Macaca mulatta: one gene and its partner. The protein of the gene in region 1 purifies or fractionates together with the protein of each later gene. This does not show direct contact. Links are inferred from orthologs where the notes say so. Each region holds a gene or a part of one and is shown on either strand. Other genes may lie near its edges.

Region 1 (5,721 bases):
GTCAAACTTGTGGTCCAGGCGAGCCCAGGCCTCAGCAATGGCTGTGGTGTTGCTCAGCATGCACACAGCTCTCTGAACCTTGGCCAGGTCTCCACCAGGCACCACAGTGGGAGGCTGGTAGTTGATGCCAACCTTGAAGCCAGTGGGGCACCAATCCACAAACTGGATGGTACGCTTGGTCTTGATGGTGGCAATGGCAGCATTGACATCTTTGGGAACCACATCACCACGGTACAACAGGCAGCAAGCCATGTATTTACCATGGCGAGGGTCACATTTCACCATCTGGTTGGCTGGCTCAAAGCAAGCATTGGTGATCTCTGCTACAGAAAGCTGTTCATGGTAGGCTTTCTCAGCAGAGATGACAGGGGCGTATGTGGCCAGAGGGAAGTGGATGCGGGGGTAGGGCACCAGGTTGGTCTGGAATTCTGTCAGGTCAACATTCAGGGCTCCATCAAATCTCAGGGAAGCAGTGATGGAGGACACAATTTGACCTATTAACCTATTCAGGTTAGTATAGGTTGGACGCTCAATATCAAGGTTTCTACGACAGATGTCATAGATGGCCTCATTGTCTACCATGAAGGCACAATCAGAGTGCTCCAGGGTGGTGTGGGTGGTGAGGATGGAGTTGTAGGGCTCAACTACAGCTGTGGAAACCTGGGGCGCTGGGTAAATGGAGAACTCCAGCTTGGACTTCTTGCCATAATCAACTGAGAGACGTTCCATGAGCAGGGAGGTGAACCCAGAACCAGTTCCCCCACCAAAGCTGTGGAAAACCAAGAAGCCCTGAAGACCGGTGCACTGGTCAGCCTATTACAAAAGAGAGAAACAGAGGAAAGGTTAAGTTTTTGTTCTTTGTAGTACAATCATAGGAAATATATTTTCACTTTTCATACATCTCCCAGGATTTAGATCTTATTTTGACAAATGCTTTTTAAAAAATTCTCATTAACATTTACAAAATGATACCAAATAGTTCATTTTAACTGATAAAAACCCCACAAGAACGACTCATTCCACTCTTTATTAAAATAACAGTTCAATTCTGTTTGAAAAAAAAAAAGCAGTATTTCAAATGTGTTCTTTAGGCTCATTAATTTACTTTATTCTTGAAAAGAAACATACCAGCTTACGAATTCGGTCCAACACAAGGTCAATGATCTCCTTGCCAATGGTGTAGTGCCCTCGGGCATAGTTATTGGCAGCATCTTCCTTGCCTGTGATGAGCTGCTCAGGGTGGAAGAGCTGGCGGTAGGTGCCAGTGCGAACTTCATCTGGAGAAGGAGGGAGAGAAGGATGGAGGGAGTGGGTGAGTGGGTGACTAGCGGAGCCCCCCAGGACAGACCTCCTGTCCCAGCATCCTGGGATCTCACTTGGGTTACTGAGGTCAACTCACCAATGACCGTGGGTTCCAAGTCTACAAACACGGCCCGGGGCACATGCTTGCCAGCGCCCGTCTCACTGAAGAAGGTGTTGAAGGAATCATCTCCTCCCCCAATGGTCTTGTCACTTGGCATCTGACCATCGGGCTGGATGCCGTGTTCCAGGCAGTAGAGCTCCCAGCAGGCATTGCCAATCTGGACACCAGCCTGGCCAACATGGATGGAGATGCACTCACGCTGTGGGAAGGAAAAGTGAAAAAATTGTAAAATTAAGGCGTATTAGCATTTCAAACTTTTAGTAAACTTTTAAAAATATTTCTAATAATATACAGATATTTTTCAAAATTATTTGAGGTCACATCCCTAGCACGATACAAAGATTAAGGAAAATGACCTGCTGCAAATGCTGCATATGGGTGTGGTCTGAATAATGATGTCGCCTTGGCCCTGTTCAGCACATGGTACCAGCCCATTGTGCCTACTACCATGCTTGAATAAAAGACTTTTCATATTTAAAAAGTATTCAGTATTCAAAGCACAAATTTTGTAAAATGAAGTAAATTCAATTATGACATAATTGGGATTAATTTTACTGCTTTCTTCCCTTTTAAATAAAGAAGAAAGTTTCTTCTGAATAGGACTGACTTGATATTATAACATGGACATCTGTACTGCAGCTGAGGCAAGAAGCCACACCCTTCTGCAGTCTGTCTGCAGAATCCATCAATACAAGGGGTTTAGACAAGGTCTGCTTCTGCCTTCTGCATTGCTGCATTGCTGTATTTGCTGTGCCTGGTGCTAGCCTGTACTGTCTGCTACATTATTTAACAGAGCAAGCTCTATTTCCAGCAACTGCCTACATGATCTCATTGTGCTGTTTTGCCAGTTTTCCTCCTCTGACCCCGCCCGGGACCATGTGCCTGAATTGAAATGAATTAATGAAGATGCACTAGAACAAAAGACAACGGGATGCGGAGTATAATTCTTTGTCTGTAGCAATTTCATTCCTTTTTTTAAAGAAAAAGGTTTTTCCAGATCTTCTCCACTGTAAAAGCTGAAAAATTATCCGTATCTTAAAACACACACACACACACACACACACACACACACACACGTTCCTAAGTTAGAAACAAGCATCACATGAAAAGGTAGCAAACAAAGAATAAAAGCCCAGTGGAACGATAGTGAAATATTTATTTAAAACAACAAAATAGTATTTTAATCCTGAGATTCTCTACCCACCACATAATATTCATATTCTTTGCATCCAATAGAGGTTTTCTTCTCTGTGGTCTTTAGGGCTACCACTTTCATTGTCTATTCGCTGATGTGGTGGGGGCGGGGCGGAGGGGGGCGGCGGGGAAGGGCGTTTCCCTGGTCCTGACCATCAGGGTACCCTGGGGCTCACAAAGTGGGCTTTCTCCCTCGCTGAACGAGCAGCGCGCGCACACACACACACACACACACACACACACACACACACACACGACCATCAGGGTACCCTGGGGCTCACAAAGTAGGCTTTCTCCCTCGCTGAACGAGCAGCACGCACGCACACACACACACACACACACACACACACACTTCAGTCGGTCAGGGCAGGGCGTCCCCAGACCAGACATTAAAGAGTTTGTCAAGTGAATTGTGATTTTGCTCAAGAGAAAAAAAAAAAGGTCATCTTAATTATAATAGCGAAGAAAACCCTTTTGGAGCCTACAGTTCCGCAATGATGAAAAGTTTTTTTTAAGTCAGCTCCTGACAGAGGAGGTTTAGTGAGGGCGAACCCCGCCCAGTGGCTCCAACGCCATAGAAGCCAGAAACAAACAACCCCGCCCCTGCGCCGCCCTGACACCCGCTGCCGGGGGCTCCAGTAGAAACTCACCATGTTTCCCCGGGAATGTGTGGTTATCTTTCCAAAACGCCAACGACCGCGAGGGGTCTTCCCACGCTAACCCCAGGCTGCGCTTTGTTCCCGTTCCCCCTCCCACATCCCCCAGCTCGCCCAACGCCCCCGCTCTTTTTGGGTGCCTCCTCCTCTCCCGGTCCCCAGAGAACGAGGCGAGACAGAAAGGGGCCCCTCGGCGTCTGCGAAACCGTGCGCACAGACACTGGACCCAGCCGGGACGCCCGAGACCCCTCGGTTGCGGCAGACGGGCTGCCCGCGACCCCGAAAGGCTGTAGGACAACACAGGCGCCCAGGCGCCGCCTTTGTTCCTCCCCAGCGCTCTGCAGCGCCCTGGGCGCAGTCCTGGCCGGGTTCCTGCACCCGCACTGCGGCGGCGGCGGAGCTGGAGGATTTGGGGTAAAGCTAAACCTCACAAAACACACCACCACCCTCGCCCAGAGAGCTTACGAAAGAAAAGAGCTTAAAGATTTTCCAAGCAGAGCCTGGGGGCGCTGACTCCACCCAACGGCCACAAAGAGCCAAAGCCGATTCTCACCATGGTTGCTGCTTCGCGACTGCAGAGCAGATGGCGGAGACAAGGAGGAGAAGGTTGTTGCTTCTTACAGCGCGACTCTTAGGCGGTCGATGTAAGAGAACCTGCGGCACATGGGCGGATGCGGCTCCATATATACAACTCGGTCACCATGGGGATGGGCCGGGGCCTGTTCCTGTTGGTCCAGACCCCCAATCTGCCCAGAGAAGCCAGGACAGGAGACTGGTGATTGGTGCAAACGACGTGGGATGAGGTAATCTCTCCCCCACCCCTTTTTCTCTAGCATCCGTAGACTGTTTGCATCCTTTAGACAAAGAGACCGTGCAGAAGCATTCTGCCGAGCATCCATTATGGGGTGGGGTCGGGGAGGGGCGGAAGAAGAAAGGGGACTGGGGTTGGAAGACTTTATGTTGCTTAAACCCCAAAATGCAGTTAAAATTATCTATGTGAGGTTTTTTCCCCCTACCCTTAATAACAGATTTATGTTCAGATTAAATATTTAAAGGAAAATTACTGCCAGCCCCTCCCTCGCAGTATATTAAACTCGACTACATTTTGTTAGGGTTCAATATCTCTAATTGCTTTAAAAATAAAGTGGGAGAGAAAATGGGCGTAATGCTCAAAACGGTCTGGGTAATTGTGATTTTTTTTAATTTAAAAAAAACATTTAGTCATACAGTCATTCAAAATGGCTTCTCAGGTTCAACTAACTTATTTTCAGAGCTTCTTTTGCAGGCACATGCACACTCGAATAGCTAAATAAAACTGGAAGATGGAAATAATAACCATACTAAATAAAGAAGCGAACAAATAGTTCTAACATGGCAATAATCAACAGCAAGTGCACGTAGAGTAGTTATAATAGTTTACTAGAGGTATTCCTTTATGAGAAGTCTATGTAACACATTTTGTGTGGTGCATTGTCCTTTGGAATGAATCATCTTTCCTGATATAAAATTGGGAAAATACAAGGAGAAATAATTGAGCTCAGAAGTTAGTACTACATGTGTGCAGTTACATATCTGCACTGGACTTTTGTCTGGAAAGTAACAAGCAAAATAATAGTAATAACCAAGACACCAAATTAAAAAGAAGAAGAGAATAATATAATGTAAAAAGAAGACTATTTTGCAATGTTGCCTCCATCTACAGACAACTGTGAAACATCAGCTCAATAACTGCATTTACTTTTTATGCAGTTCTTATGTCAATTTGGTAAATATCCTCCTGCGAGTGGGCTTCTGACTGTGGGAATTTTAGCCAGCCTCACACCCTTGCTATTCAACTAGAGACTCTGGTGGTTGCTCAGTTGCCCCTTGGGACAAAAAGGCTTTGCTTTCACCCCTAGGAAATAAATTGGAGTAACATTGTCTTGCTATTTAGAAAGGCTCCATTCTCAGCAACGATGGGCTATGCAGAGTGAGTCACTGGATTTCGTACCACTGGATGTTGGTGATGAAATTTCAGAGGTAAGTAAGTTTGGCCACTAAAGTTGGAAATTTATTTTTTACAAATAATTTTTCCTTTTGGTTTTCAGCGGCAGATTTTCAGGGTGGGCAGCAACTACTCACACAGCACTCTGCGGAGCCCATTCATTCCTGCCAGGCTGGCAGGCTGAGCAGGGCGTGGGAGGGAGGGACTTGAGAATACAGCTGCTGCAGGTTGTGGTGTGACAATGGCGACCACGAATTTTTCTAGCCTGCCATCCACAGTTCTGCTTTACTTGTTCAATTTTGCTTCAGTAATATTTTCTGGAAAAAAAATAATATCCAAAATGCAAAAATCATTTTATCTACTTGTAACATATTTCCTAGGAAAAAATAATATTCAACATCATCTTATTTCCACCTCTTTAGCAAAAAAAAAAAAAAAAAAAAAAACAAAGAAAGCATATTTCA
Region 2 (5,858 bases), on another chromosome or scaffold:
GAGGGTTGAGGGAAGAGGCTGTCTACCCCCGTTTGCCCGCCCCAGCCCCCTCCTGCCTTGGCCCGCGCCCCCGCCCACTCCACTCTAAGCGCACGACAGCGGGCAAAACAACACGTGACCGAAGCCTCACGCGGCGGCCGCTGCGGATCCTGCTACCGGCGCAATGGAGGGGCGCGAGCGGCCACCAGTAGAGGTGTGCAAGGGAGGAGGCGGCGGGCTTGGGAGGCGGAGCCACCTCCAGCTGTGCCAACACCCTCCCGGTGAATCTCCAGGCCTGTGGGCCAAGAGAGGACTAAGAGGAGGAGGCGGGGCTCTCTGGCCAAGCAGATTCTACCCCGGAGTCGAGGAAGGCATGAGCGGGCGGGAGAAGGCCTGGAGGTGCAGAGGAGAAAGCGGCCGGCTATCAGGGCTGGGAGAGGGCGCCACAGTCGGGGCCCCATTGGTGGGAGGTGGTTGGGGGGGCGCGGAGCGCAAGCAGTGCCGGCGGCGCCGGGGTGCAGAGCCCGCACAGTCGCCGGACGGTTTGTTTGTTTATTTGGGAAGCGGGAGCCAGGTGAAACTGTTGCAAGGCTCTGATTGGCTGGAATAGGAGCCAATGGGAGGGTCCGGCAAGAAGGCAGTCCCGAATTCATTAGTTTGGCGGGAGGGAGGGGTGAGAGGGGAGAGGGGGCGTGGCTGGGGTCCCAAAGTGGCTTCGCTGTCGGCTTGTGGCGCTCTCAGGCGGTAAACAACCTTACGCAAATAGCTGTTAATGGTGGTGGTAAACTCGTGCAAATCCCAGAGCCATGGTGACCCGGGACGGAGTCGGGTGCCCTGGTATTCCCTGTCAATCACATAAATTCTCTGTTCCTGTCACAGTCTGGTTTATTCTTTCCAGTCGCTCACGGCGGCTGGTCGAGCTTCTTGGGAAAAAGTGTCGGCACCCCTTGAAAGCGGGTTGATGACCCGGGCGCTCAGACCCGCTTCCCACCGCGCTGCAGGCACTCCCGAGCCCGCTCCACCCCTGACGAAGCCCGCGACTCTAAGGCACACGAATAACCACGATGAATTCAAAATGAACATGATCTTTATTAATCAGAATGCACTTCTAGCCCACGAAACACAGGTTCCCTAAATACAGTGTTTCTGCCTATTTGATTAACGATGACTACGAAAGCACAAATTTGGGGGCCTGCAATGTATACAGCCATATTGGAAAAGATTGGACTCGATTCTTACTGAAATAACCAGTGTTGGGCTGTGAGGTATTTTTCTGTGGGAAATGCTTTGGAAGGTGCCTTTAAAAGAATCTCAAAATATTGCTTTCCTTTCCTTGAGCGAGACCGAAAAACTTTAGAAAAAGAAAAGCTCATACCTAGAACAAAGGACCACGCTGAATGCATATTCTAGAGCGCATTTCACATCCCTCGCGTCAACAAGAAGAAGGTGAGGAGCTTTGATGCATTTCAGTCTACAAGTTGACATCACAAAAGTAAGAGCTGCTGCCTCCCTAATTTCTGGAAAAACTGCCAGAGTGTAAGTGCAACCTCCTGAAGTCTCTCTCTCTCTCTCTCTCCCCCTTTCTCTCTCTCTCTCTCTCTCCCCCCCGCCCCCCTCTCTCCCTCACCACCCCAGTTATTTCTTGACTAGAATTTTAGACTCCTCTCCCTCTCTCCCCCACCACCCCAGTTATTCCTTGACTAGGATTTCAGACTCTTAATGGTGGAGATGGGTCGTGAATTATCAAAGGAGTGACCACGTTTGCAAAGAGGAATGGAGGGACAGGAGGAAATAACAGCATTTCTCTCTGAAAGAATGGAATGTCAGTTCACCCTTGCTCTAGGGTTGATACGGCAAAGGGTACTATTTTATAAAATCCCACAGTAAACTAGGCAATGTGTATATCATAAAAATAAACCGTATCTCTGCCCTCTTAAGAATTTGCTCTCTGTTAGAAACAGAACACACGTATTTGAATAAATGGCTCCTTTTTGATGCTATAATTTAAGAGAAAGAAAAATTGGTTTTGGTTGTCCCCCAGATATTACAAACATTCAATAACATTCCCTCTGCTGCAAATGGTTTATAAGTGCAATATATTCACAGGTGCCGGAAGCAGCCGTGGTTTCGGAAGGGAGCTAGAGGCAGAACCAGAGTGGATGCTGAGAGCCCTGTCTGTGACTGTTACATATTTCAGCTGCGTAGTCACATACATACAAGATTCCCTGCATTTATAACCAAAATGATAACAAATGCTCTCATTTGGGATTTTGTTTGATAGTCATTAGGATATTTTATAAGTCTTTCCAAGCACAAGGTTCTTCTCTTTTTTTTTTTTAAAGAGAAATGTGACAAATAAGGCAACATATTTGAAAGTGCTTTGACTAATAACATGACATTGAAAATATCAAAATGAATATTAAAACAAATGGGAAAATACTGGAGATTTTTTAATCCTCATGTCCTTTTTCCTGTACATATAGAGTTTTTACAAAGAGCAGTAGGCTTACAATTTATATAATTTTGCATCCTGTTCTTTTCACTTAACATTATACAATATTTTCCCATATTATTATGCATCAGCCTAAATATCATTTAAAAGCAACATGTTATCCAACACAATTAATGTATATTAATGTAATTAATCATCTACTTTGGGGCATTTGTTTTCATTTTTTTCAGTATTATAAATAACATGTCAATGAATATCTTGTATCTACAGCCTTTTAAAATTCCCATTGGGTAAAAACTGAGCACTGGAATTAGTAGGCTAAAAGATATGAATATTTAATACATTATTTTTCAAAAATATCATATTAGTTTACACTGTCACCAGACTGATTGTCACTTTGGACATTCTTATTTTTAAAAAATCAGAGATAAGATGAGTGAAATGGTATTCCACTATTCTTTTTTTTTTTTTTTTTTTTTTGAGATGGAGTCTTATCCTATCACCCAGGCTGAAGTGCAATGGCATGATCTCAGCTCACTGCAACCTCGGCCTCCTGGGTTCAAGCAATTCTCCTGCCTCAGCCTCCCAAGTAGCTGGGATTACAGGTGCCCACCACCATGCTCAGCTACTTTTTGTATTTTTAGTAGAGAAGGGTTTTCACCATGTTGGCCAGACTGGTCTCGAACTCCTGACCTCGTGATCCACCTGCCTCAGCCTCCCAAAGTGCTGGGATTACAGGCCTGAGCCACCGTGCCCGGCCTGCACTATTCTTTCAATGTGCATTTTTTTTTTTTTTTTTTTTACTAGTGAGATGAAACATTTATATATATTTACTGACATTGTATTATTTCCTATAATGTGTTCTTTGTGTTGTCTATTGTATTCTTAGTATTTTCTTCTTATGTTTAACTTGTTTACATAATAAATACATTAAAACTCTGTGGTATTTGTTGCAAGTTTTTTTTTTCCTACTCTGTTGACTTTAAAAATCACATTTAACCTGATTCTCTTCTGTTTTGAAAGATATGTAAATTTGGCACAATGTGGTTTGTAACACAGTTTGAAAGGGAGCTGTTGATACAAATGTCACCATGGTCACTTTTAAACTTCTTTTAAAAGATCTCATATATTTCAGCTTATATGCTCTTTTAAAAGGAGAAATGTTTCTTCTCTTGTCAACAAATTATAAGAGAGCATCTAAACTAGTTAAATTTTATCACTCTGAAATAATACTTTATGAGACATTTTCTATTTTAAGGGGAAATATCAAGCATTAATCAATGTGTTAAAAAAAAAGTGTGAAAATAATTTCTAAACTATTACAGTGAAAGATGAACAGTGCTGATCATTTTGTACCAAGGGTATATTATTTGGCTGCAGCAAAGTGGAATTAGAGCTATAGTGAGATGCTTCACAGAGGAATTTTACTTTGTATATTTCCTACAGTGGAAGATAATCTGGCAAGCATGAGTGCTTGTAAACAGGGAGAATGTCTGACTAGAACATTATTTTCTTCCTATAGGTCAACCAAGCCTTCTCAGTCCTAATGTTATCTCAACACTGAAGCTCTGTAGAGCAGACCAGCATTACTGAATTGTACCAGATGCTAGAGCTTGTCGGACATATATTTAAATTTTCATTTTCCTGGACAACTTAATGATATAGAATAGTCATTTAGTTTAGGTCAGATTCTCATAGGCAAAGTAAAACAGATATCTAGATGGTTTAGGCAAAATATAGAGAATTTTTATTTGGCTTGAACTCACCAGATGGTGGCTTTAATGCTCTAGCCTCTTTTGGTTATAGATTCCTGTCTCTTATTTTTTTTTTTTTGGTTTTTGTTTTTATTGTAGGACAGTTTATCCCAGAAGGCTAAAGTTGCCTTGCATATTCATTTATTACAACTGTAAAGTTTGGAATCTGCACAAAGAGTCTGAAATACAGATTTTTAAAACAACAGATAATAAATAATAAGACTTAAAAAAGAGTTCTTGTTTCAGTTTGCCAATTCAACTCAAGGGATAAAAAACAGAAGCATTGTAACTGGCATTTTACGCCTATAAACTAATGTAAATGGATAAATAGCCACAATATCTTTAACACCGATTCCAGCTAATGAAGAAATATATGCCTTTAATGATGTGTGCTTTTAAAAGGAATTTCCTGTGAATCCTGTTTTAAGAAAGCAGTTGTCTGAATTGACTTGTCAGTGATAACAAAAAATTCATCTGCTTCTTTTCTTACATACATGATCATGAATGTTCTAAACTCAACTTGTACTAAAAATGGGTAATTGAAGTGTGGATTTATTTAGTTTAAAAATTAAGCTGTTGTATTAAATATGGATTACATTATTCAAGAGAATAAAACCTAAGAGGAAAAGTAACCAGTATAAAAGAACTATTATTCTTGCCCCATGTATAAATTATCTTGTAAGTGTTAACTCTATAAGCTTCATGAGCTAACGTCCAATTATGTTGATAAAAATGTGGTGCTACCCTTGATATTAAAAAATCATGTTAGTGATGACGATTGCTTCTCTGTGTTGGGACATAAATCACGTAGAGTGAAAGATGCTTTCTACACTATGCAGGAATAAGGGCTGCCCTGTGATTTGTGGCTGCAGCCACTGTTTGCAGATGATGGCTTTGCTTCTCAGCTTTACTTCTGTGCTACTCAAAACCTCTGCTGGAGAAAACAAGCATCAAATGCCTGACTGCTGCACACAGAACAGGTCTGTTTGCTGCCTTTGTTTCCTAGCAGTCTCCAGCGAAAGTAATTAGAGCAAATACGTGGTTTAATTAGGCTCCTAAAGCTTTCCTGTTATCTTAAGAGTCAACTTAAAATTAACTTAGTTAAAAATCAAGCATTTCTTCCCATCTTCAAAAGATAAAAGTTTCATTTGGAAATAACTTTTACTAAGTAAGATAAACATCAGAACAATGAGGTCTGCTAGGTTTCACATAAATTTCAATGATTTAACATCATATATGTTCTCTATGCTAATATAAATCAACAATAGAAAATTTAGCTTAATGCTATGTTCTTCCTTATTAATATCATATAGCAGCATTTTTCTTAGTGTGAAAAGCCTATCAATTCATACTGCCTTGACTTCAAAAGTTAGAATCTTTATTTTTTAAATTAAATAGGATAATTACATAGTTAAATATATTATTTTAAAGGAGTTAGTATCATAGACTTATATTTTTCTTTGGATATTTAGAAAGCCAGCTGTCATATTTAGGATAATATATATTATGTTTCTTGTTGATTCCCCTCTCTCCACTCCTCACATGGTCCTGCCATGTCTGTCAGATTGAACCCTTTGTTTCACTTTCATAGTCACCATCCTTGTCCATGCCATAATTAACTCTACCAGAATTGCCAAAGTAACTTCTTAAACTGGCTTTAGCATTCTTCAGTC

Evidence for each region.
Region 2: the proteins of TUBA1A (region 1) and IRS4 purify together in Homo sapiens (affinity purification with mass spectrometry; 3 studies listed by BioGRID and IntAct, with this or other methods). This does not show direct contact. The link is inferred for Macaca mulatta from reciprocal best matches to the Homo sapiens genes TUBA1A and IRS4.

Annotation. Positions count from the first base shown.
Region 1 is NC_133416.1:56,350,419-56,356,139, forward strand, and holds the start of TUBA1A (tubulin alpha-1A chain), read right to left. Parts: upstream 3,920-5,721; 5' UTR 3,830-3,919; coding exon 3,827-3,829; exon of another isoform or gene 3,271-3,826; coding exon of another isoform or gene 3,268-3,270; intron 1,623-3,267; coding exon 1,400-1,622; intron 1,278-1,399; coding exon 1,129-1,277; intron 814-1,128; coding exon 1-813. UniProt on the Homo sapiens protein: Tubulin is the major constituent of microtubules, a cylinder consisting of laterally associated linear protofilaments composed of alpha- and beta-tubulin heterodimers.
Region 2 is NC_133426.1:115,539,507-115,545,364, forward strand, and holds the start of IRS4 (insulin receptor substrate 4), read right to left. Parts: upstream 3,370-5,858; 5' UTR 1-3,369. UniProt on the Homo sapiens protein: Acts as an interface between multiple growth factor receptors possessing tyrosine kinase activity, such as insulin receptor, IGF1R and FGFR1, and a complex network of intracellular signaling molecules containing SH2 domains.